Linked DNA regions of Nothobranchius furzeri. The main gene of each other region encodes a partner of the protein of the gene in region 2 in a complex. Links are inferred from orthologs where the notes say so. Each region holds a gene or a part of one and is shown on either strand. Other genes may lie near its edges.

The links. Proteins that work in one complex are often made in the same cells at the same time.
Region 1: mettl14 (region 2) and wtap share a complex: the UniProt entries of both Homo sapiens proteins name them as parts of the WMM complex. The link is inferred for Nothobranchius furzeri from reciprocal best matches to the Homo sapiens genes METTL14 and WTAP.

The regions. Positions count from the first base shown.
Region 1 is NC_091742.1:5,865,037-5,869,334, reverse strand, and holds the start of wtap (pre-mRNA-splicing regulator WTAP), read right to left. Parts: upstream 2,801-4,298; 5' UTR 2,614-2,800; intron 2,077-2,613; 5' UTR 2,069-2,076; coding exon 2,039-2,068; intron 1,933-2,038; coding exon 1,877-1,932; intron 1,802-1,876; coding exon 1,743-1,801; intron 1,583-1,742; coding exon 1,455-1,582; intron 1-1,454. Other genes in the region: sod2 (superoxide dismutase [Mn], mitochondrial), read left to right, coding at 3,565-3,695, 4,131-4,298. UniProt on the Homo sapiens protein: Associated component of the WMM complex, a complex that mediates N6-methyladenosine (m6A) methylation of RNAs, a modification that plays a role in the efficiency of mRNA splicing and RNA processing.
Region 2 is NC_091746.1:78,155,158-78,159,399, reverse strand, and holds the start of mettl14 (N(6)-adenosine-methyltransferase non-catalytic subunit METTL14), read right to left. Parts: upstream 2,801-4,242; 5' UTR 2,668-2,800; coding exon 2,602-2,667; intron 2,291-2,601; coding exon 2,202-2,290; intron 1-2,201. Other genes in the region: prss12 (neurotrypsin), read left to right, coding at 3,841-4,168. UniProt on the Homo sapiens protein: The METTL3-METTL14 heterodimer forms a N6-methyltransferase complex that methylates adenosine residues at the N(6) position of some mRNAs and regulates the circadian clock, differentiation of embryonic stem cells and cortical neurogenesis.

The DNA of each region.
Region 1 (4,298 bases), on a different chromosome or scaffold from region 2:
TTTGCACCGGTTCTGCCTTTGCGTCTTTGCCGGTTCCTTTCCTCCACTGCATCCAGATGACCACGTCGTGCGCCAGTAAAAAGCATTTTTCTTACAAGTAACTTACTTTTGTTCAATAAAGTTCAGGGGAAAATGGTAATTCAAAGATGTTGCACCCGTGTTACATTTACAAATAGACAGACACGCAGACAGTGTTTTTCATCGCACTGTACAGCCCTGCTCTGATATGGAAGAGCCTGGGGGAAAATCAGGACGTCAATAGCACCGACCACAGATATGTAACTAGAGAGAAAAGCAATTTTTGATCTTTGTCTGCTGCGGTTTTAGTGCTTTTTTGTGCACCGCTGCTGATACAGCGCCCCGTAGTGGTGCAATGCTGCAACTGCAGTTAAAATAACATCCATATAGCTGGGGGCAGAGTGAAATCAGGCTGGGGCGGCACAAATTAGCTGGAGGAGGCCACCAGGCAAATTTGAATGCAGGAAAAACCCTGGTACAGCTAGGGACATGAACGTTGCCAACCCACACACATCTTTTCAATTTTGTATTATCAAATGTATTGATATGGGAACATTTATCACGATAAGTCAGAAATTTCGATAACGATACATTTTCGGTTTATTGCCCAGCCCTACACGATATGCCAAAAGGCACAACTAATATGGCTTAAGCAACAAAAGTAGCAGCATCTGACTGAACCTAATCCTTATTTTTGGCTTTTAAATGAAAGAAAAGGTGTGCTGAGGTGAGCTCTGCTGCTCTTTAAGGCAGATGAGCCCCCATAAAGCCACTGAACACTCTGTACCATCAGTCTAAAGCCAACGGCTGACCTTAACTACTTGTTGGCCCAGTGTGAATGAATGTGAATGGCCATAACAGTATCCCTGTTTACGACCGGTTCTGTTGACAGAAAACAGCACGTTTGTTTATAACAGCTGCTGCTCTGCAAATGCTGCTGCTTGTTTTAAGATCCTTTTACGTCACAAACTTAGAAAAATATCATGTATGTGTAAATGACACCATGCAACATTTACTTCTATTAGTATTTTAATCTCAATCAAAGATCATATTGCACTTATAAGCAGTGTTTTATGGCTAAGAAGCTCTGATCTTGTGTAAATACATAAAACATCGACTACAGCTGCCACACTGACAGATGTTAGCACTCATTTTGATGTTTGCCATTTTAAATAAGGCATCTGTTCAAAACATCACTATAAAACATTACATTTGGTATTAATCTATTGTCATTAGTGAACGTTTGACTTCTGTGACCTAACCTAATGATAAGTAAAATTCAACATCGCCTTTTTATACAGTATTACAAAAAGGAGAGTCGACATCCATCAGAGAGAAAATAAATCAATCACCCAACAAGGAGCTTCCTACAGATCAACGGGGAGCAACATTCGACCAAAGCAAAACAGTGAATTCAGTGGCAAACAGATACGTACTGTACACTCTTGCATTTCCTGCTCCTTTGTGGCAAGTCGCATGACCAGGATGTTCTCCCTGCGAGCAGACTCTTGCTGCTGCTGCTTGAGCTTTTCCTCCGACTCCTTCAGTCCTGGAACATCGTTCGCTGAAGGGATGAGATGAAAAAACATCACAGATTAGTCCTCTTCACAGACAGCCAAAGGTTAGGCAATGCACTCATTGTAGCATTTATAGCTGACTGTTGAAACGGCTAAATAAACTAAACTCAACATGATGCTGGATTGCATTTACGAAACTGCACTTACAACACAGCTCTGCATATTTGGCCTCGAGGACCTGCACGTACGTTTCATGCTGTTTCCACCTGAAACGAGAAAAGAAGGTTTAACATTTTTAGATGAACACGTGATTTTACAGCAATCGCAGCGTGAACACCCACCTGGTACACAGCTCTTCTCTAGTCAGGGTCTTCATGTCCGACTCACTCAGGCGAACCTGTGAAAACAGAAAAACTGGTCAATGAGGCCGGCTGCTATTTGGAGACAACCAAAGGCTAAATGAACATAGTTCAAATAGGAGATGAACAGGATCAGACGCTAACCTTCTTGGGTAGAGGTTCCTCGTTGGTCATTTTGAACTCTAGAAGAAAATATGACAAGAAATCATCAGTTACTGCTGCTTAAATTGCAGGTTGAATTAACTGCATCATCTTTTCAGCTAAAGCGTTAGTTCTCCGCACGCAGTCTAGTCACGACTAGCACACAAGCTAAATTACGTGCGTTTTGGTTTCTGAAGAAAGAACACCGCATATTTTATGGCAAAGAGTTGACTCATTGGTCGATAACATAAGATTTAACATAACCAGTTGATAAGCGCTGTACAGCTAAATGTCGGGACATTGTGGCAGCTAGCAGAGCGAAGAAGCTAACCAAGGTGAACTACTGACCACTAATATTTAGCACTCCTTTGCAATGGTAAATTGAACTCATAGTTACAAAGTAACGTTTAAATATAATTTAAATTCAAATGGGTGGCACTTAATTATTTGCTCTGTTTCGGCTCCTTGTTATAACAAAATGGCGGTGAAGGAAACGACTCCCTCCCTTGCGCTCCTTTTCCTGAAACTAGCGGGCTCTTGGCTGCAGTTACCAGGCCTGACGCCACAAAAACACTCACCTGGCCCTGAATCTTCGATGTTTCTCAGAACTGTCGGCTTCAGAAATTCCTTGTGAGGATAACAATCACATAAACGGTCAAATATTCAGAGAAATGACAAGTAACGGTATCGTTTGGGCTTAGTCGCAATCATCTTTCTTTAGCTGACGGCAGTGTGGAATAGCTACGGACGAAAATGCTGCGGAGTAATACCAGAGAGCTAAAAACAGAGAGAAGACGCCTCACTCGTAAAATAATTTCTGAAACTCGAGCAGGGCCACGACACAAGGGATATTTTCAACGTTTTATTTATATAATTTACTATAGTTAATGTTTGATTATGCGTGGTACAACTTTTTAGAGTCAATCGACCAAAATAATTGATAACATCTGTCTAAATAGAATAAATAAATAAACAAAAAATGTTATTTGTTAATTAAGTTAAAATTATTCAAATATAGGTGACCTAGCAGAAACGCATATTTCTAAAATAACTGGTTCAGGCAAAACATGTTTGCTTTGAGTCATTGATTAAATTGGATGAAGACTTTTTTTTAAAAAAAAAAGAACATTTCTAAAGAGTGGGACATCTTAACAAAGTAGACAATCTTCACGTCACGATTAAAAAAGAGGGTCACGTGCCTCGTGGTCTTCTAAACATTTCTTTATTTTGATTACTCTCGTGTTTCAAAATTTCGTTAAACATTTTGACGACACAAATCCAAGTCTTACACTTGTTTACTAATTTATAATAAAAAGAAAAATAACGAGCTAAGGCCCTGAAGACCATGTGCAGCGTAATAGGGAAACGCATTTCAAAAACAAAATGACATGGTTACTCATAAAAAATGCCACAAGTTAAAGGTTTATTGACAAACACGGCAAACCAATGTTTCGACGAAGTCCAACTTTCAGCGTCCGCAACATTACAGAAATCATGCAAACGCTTCCAAACACCCCCATCGTATAATAATGATGGTGCAGTCTGTCAACTTGAAATGGCTCAGTTTCAAGGGCAGTTATTTACTAGCGCGTGCACACGGTTCTGGTTACCTGCTGAGGTCCATTCGAAACATGCTGAGCAGACTTGGGCAAATACGCAGGTAAAACGGATGTTCGCGTAACATTAGGGCATATATAAAGTTGTTGAAAACAGGCAGAGTGAGCTGTTGCGTGCTGTAATCGAGTATGATCTTCAAACATCAGGAGCTAACAGTTTGCTAGCCAGGATGCTAACTTAGTTTAGCAAGCTGTTTACATTAGTTTATGGCGCACCAAATAGTTTAGATTACTTCCGTCATTATTTTATGCCTAGGGTTGAATGCAGTTGCAAACTTAAAGTGTCAAAACGAATGCACAAAATTACACACGAGCCTATGTTAAAAGTACATTTAGTTAATGGTTTCGGCTGTGTAAATCCTGAATAAACACTAAAGTCAGTCGCTTGCAGCCATCTTGAATTGCTGTTTAGTTGTATCCGGTGATTGATGCACAATTGGATCGTGATTTATTACAATTCTCCTCTTTGTTAATTTCAGGTGCGCAGCCAGCCTCAGCCAAAGCATTAACCAGATAGCTGCATCAAGGCAGAAGCACACCCTTCCTGACCTGACCTATGATTATGGAGCCCTGGAGCCTCACATCTGTGCAGAGATAATGCAGCTGCACCACAGCAAACATCATGCTACCTATGTCAATAACCTCAA
Region 2 (4,242 bases):
AAATATTTAGAGTACCCAGGTAGCACATCAACAATGCAATTTAATGGTTTTCTTAAAGTAGGAACGTTTAACCTGTGGCCAGAGCGCTCTCCTTCCTTCTGCTCTGCGTAAACCTGAACTGGTCACCTACTTGTGCATAATCAAATGTCTATAGGGGAAAAGATGGATGTGGGGGGCTGGGGGGTGCGCAGCTAAATAAGTTTGGGAACCGCTGGTCTAGCTCAAAGATGTTACACAGATTGTTCTTGAAAATAGCTTGAATTGCTGTTAAGTGTTGGATGTCTTGCTTTTGGATTCATCCAGTGTGATGATTACAGCTGTGGAGATGCTTTTTAAAAATAATACAGTTTTATCTCACCTACTCAGTTACCACAGTTCATATGAAGCAGGTTTTCACTTCTGCGAAGTATTTGCTGAATCTTACCTCCCCTGTTGTTTTGGTTTTGAATCCAAAGAATGTACTTTATAGGTCATACCTTGAGCTGTATCTAATTTTATGGTTCAAACTGGAGGAAATAACACAATAAGTTTTAATTTTTGGACATGTGTAATGTACTCAGGTCATTCACAAATTTGTTATCATTAGTAATTCATAAATCAGACTGTATCATTTGCATGTTAGTTAACCCCTGGTTAATGATTAAGTTGTGTTTCCTAAAGTGTTACTGATTTGACTTTTAATGTCTTGTAATATTGTTTATTAGTGTCCTGATATTCATAATCACCACCACCATTCTCTACTTTTGACTACTGTGTTTAATGTTACATTCATAATATGTTCTTATAAAACAGTAAGTCAATGTAACACAAACCATTTGATGGCATTGTTGAAATAAAAACAAATAACATGCCCACACTTTAATGGCTATATTCCTGTAACCACAAGGTCTTTTTCATTACTTTTGGTCTCATTATAAAAGGAATTCTTGTGGGATTTGTTCAGATGTGTGAATATTAGAATAAGTGTTGCTGATGAAGTGTAAATAGACAAGGAACATTGTAAAAAAGTTGATTATTTTTCTTTTGCTTATTTTGCCCGAAATGTTTGATTTCAGGATGAATACCTCTTTTGAAAAATGCATCAGTAGTTTTAAATTTCACTGAATTCATAATTTTACATCTTGACATTAGCTGTACAAAGTCTGAGTTTGATAAAGTGAAGAACAACAATTTTCAGAGGTTTATAATATATGCACACTTAAAGCGAGGTCTCAAATGCCACAGTGTGCCACTTGTAAAAGGAATAGTTGAACGCTCCTTCTACGGAATAGGTTTTTTTTTTGGTCCAACTTTAAAATCAGCTTTATTAACATTCAGTGACAAATAAAGTTTGTCGAAACCTCCCCGCCTCTACCCGAGTACACCTGTGCGCTGGTGGACTGGGCTGGAACCACAGTTTATTCAGGAGTTTCTCCAGACCCCGCCGTTGGATTATTGAAGCCGTTCAGGTTAGTTAGGAAACCTCTGAGCCAATAGAATCGCTTGCTTTTGATTTTTTAGGCTAGATTTTTGGGATTTGGCATCAGATGGATGCAAGCTAAAACAGCCACGAATCAGCTTTGTGTGATGTTGTGAAGATGGATTACACAAAGGGATTGGATTGTTTTTACCATAACATGGATTATGACCATGAATCAACAAAGGTAAGACTGTATTTACGCTTTTCACGTCATGAAATGAGCTGTGGTTTGTTAGCTGCTGGTTCTGTGAATTTTGCATGTAGAGTGCATAAATATTGTTGGAAAGAGAAGTCTGGGCTTTAATTTAAACAGTGGATTCTGTGGATAGGATATTGGATTGTCGCTGCTGTGTGTTTTTCTCTAAATGTGTATTTAGTGTATTTTTACGTCCTTTTGATTTAACAGCTTATTGTTGAATTGGGTGTTGTTGATGAAGAAAACTTGGGTTCTGTTGTTTGGAAGATTAGTTCTTCCCGTTCTGCATGTGTGCAGTTTATACATTGGTGAATATTAAGCATGTTTTTGGAAGGACTATGTTACTGTGAATCATGCGCGAACTCCTTACTGGATTGAGGTTGAGTTTCAATTTACAACTGATGACATCCACAGACAACATCCCCCACACTTTTGAAAAGTTTGCAACGCGCCTGCAAACACGTTGCATTTACGTATTTCATTCAAACGCAGCCCTTTTCTAGCTCAGACGATCCCGCCCTGTCTGTGAGGAGGAACAACCCTTACCTGCTTGCTTCTCTTGTCTCCTCTATCTCTTTGAGCTCATCTTTGCTGTGAAGGACAGCCCCGATACTGTCTGCGCTCTCAGCTCCCAGCTGCGCATTTAGAGAAACACACACAGAGAAACCAACATCAGCAAACATTTGACTGGAACTTTGTGAACGCCTTTTTTGCATTGCTGCTACATTTCATTCGACAAATAAAGTCGGCTCTAGCTTGGGTTACACTTATTTACATTTGCTATGAAGGTGTTTTCTTTTAGCTCGGTGGAAGGCGAGTATTTAATACATCAGCCAAGTTAGGGACGGTGAAGTTATGGTGAGCATTTAGCACCCTGCAGCTCCGTTATGACCAAAGCGACGTTAGCGGTTAGCCACTTTCTAACTGTTAACTATGGTGTACTTGCCTGTTGAGCCAAGATCTGCCGTCTCAGTTTTTGTTTCTCGCGGATTTCTTGAAGCCTACTGTTCATGTTCTCCTCTGTGACAGTAGATCTGTATTTATATTAAACGTCGGGTCGTTGCTAAATACGGATTACGTTCACTTCTGAAAGCAGCAAGCTCCTAGCTAAACATTAGCTAAATCGACATAGCCGCTGAAATGATGATGGGTGCGCTCGTTATGAACACCGGTACAAGTAATCACAGTAGATGTGTGTCTTTAACAAATATAGGGCGATGCATTGAAACTGCAAAGTTTACATATAAAACACTCAAATAACGTGTAATTTGAAGACATGTATAAAATTCTACAAAGAAAATTAAATAAACCGATTTGAGGGCTATAACTCCGGTTACCCAGAGAAGGTTCGGTGTACGCTGTTTACAAGATTTAACAAGCATTTGAACCTACAGTCACTCGATGATGATGAAAGAGCCTTGTCCGACGCATACGTTTGGCGTCAGCAAATTTATCACCCAATCACAGAGAACAGTTGGAAAAGGCAATCCAACAAACAGCTATATTCGACTGTTTCCCGTTCTCTCACAGCTCATGATACCACAATAAAAAGAAGGGAATGTGTTATTGGCATTTAAATACAGTATCAATAGTCGAGTAGCTTTAAAAGCTTACGGACAATGAAATTAGTGCAAGAAGCAAATTCACAGCTTTGTAGCCGTACTACATAAAAATATAGCATTGAAATAATTTTAGCAGTAAGCATATAATGATTAAATAACAACAATAACAATACAGATAACTAATAGCCTAATTTTAATTTAATTTCTCCTTTTAGCATTTTAACAGCAGTGCAAAAACATTTCAAACGTTTTTTCTCAAAGCAAAATTTCCTAACCTGACTGAGGGGAAATGGGAAATATAGTCTATCTAAAATGTAATTAGCCAACACATATATTAAATTGGTTTAGGGGAATTTTTGTTATATTTATTACGGCTCCGCGTAGAGTTCGTTTTAGTTCGTGACATTTGGCTGGATCTTGGATCAATCAGTAATTTGGTTTCCTCCTCTCGGAAGGGCTGCCAGCGCATCAGCCTACGCAAAAAGAGTTTCATCGATCTGCGTCGTTTTTCTTCTCGGTTCTCTCCCCTCCCGGGGAAAAGCGCCGGGGCTGCCTGCATGTCTGGAAACAGCTGATGAGTGAAACGGATTGCCACCGTTATCAGCGGCTCACGGTCGCAGAACATGAAGGCGACGTTTCTCGCTTCAGTAGCCGCTCTTCTGACCGCAAGCGGCTGTTTTTCCAGCAGCGTCCCTTCATTCATCCCCTCGTCCACCGAATGCGCCCGGAGCCAGGGGAGAGACGGCTCCTACCGGGGAGCTATTGATGTCACCGAGTCCGGCAGCCGGTGTATGAACTGGACCGAGGTGGCCGGGTTCCGTGAGCGCTATCCGAGCAGGGGGATAGGAGAACACAACCACTGCCGCAACCCGGACGGCAGGATTCGTCCCTGGTGCTTCTTTAGGAACCACAAAGGCAGAATAGACTGGGGTTACTGCGACTGTAAACAAGGTAAACACGCGGGTCCGGCGAATGCATTTTACACAATCATCTCAGATCTGTGCAATATGAATAAACAGACACAT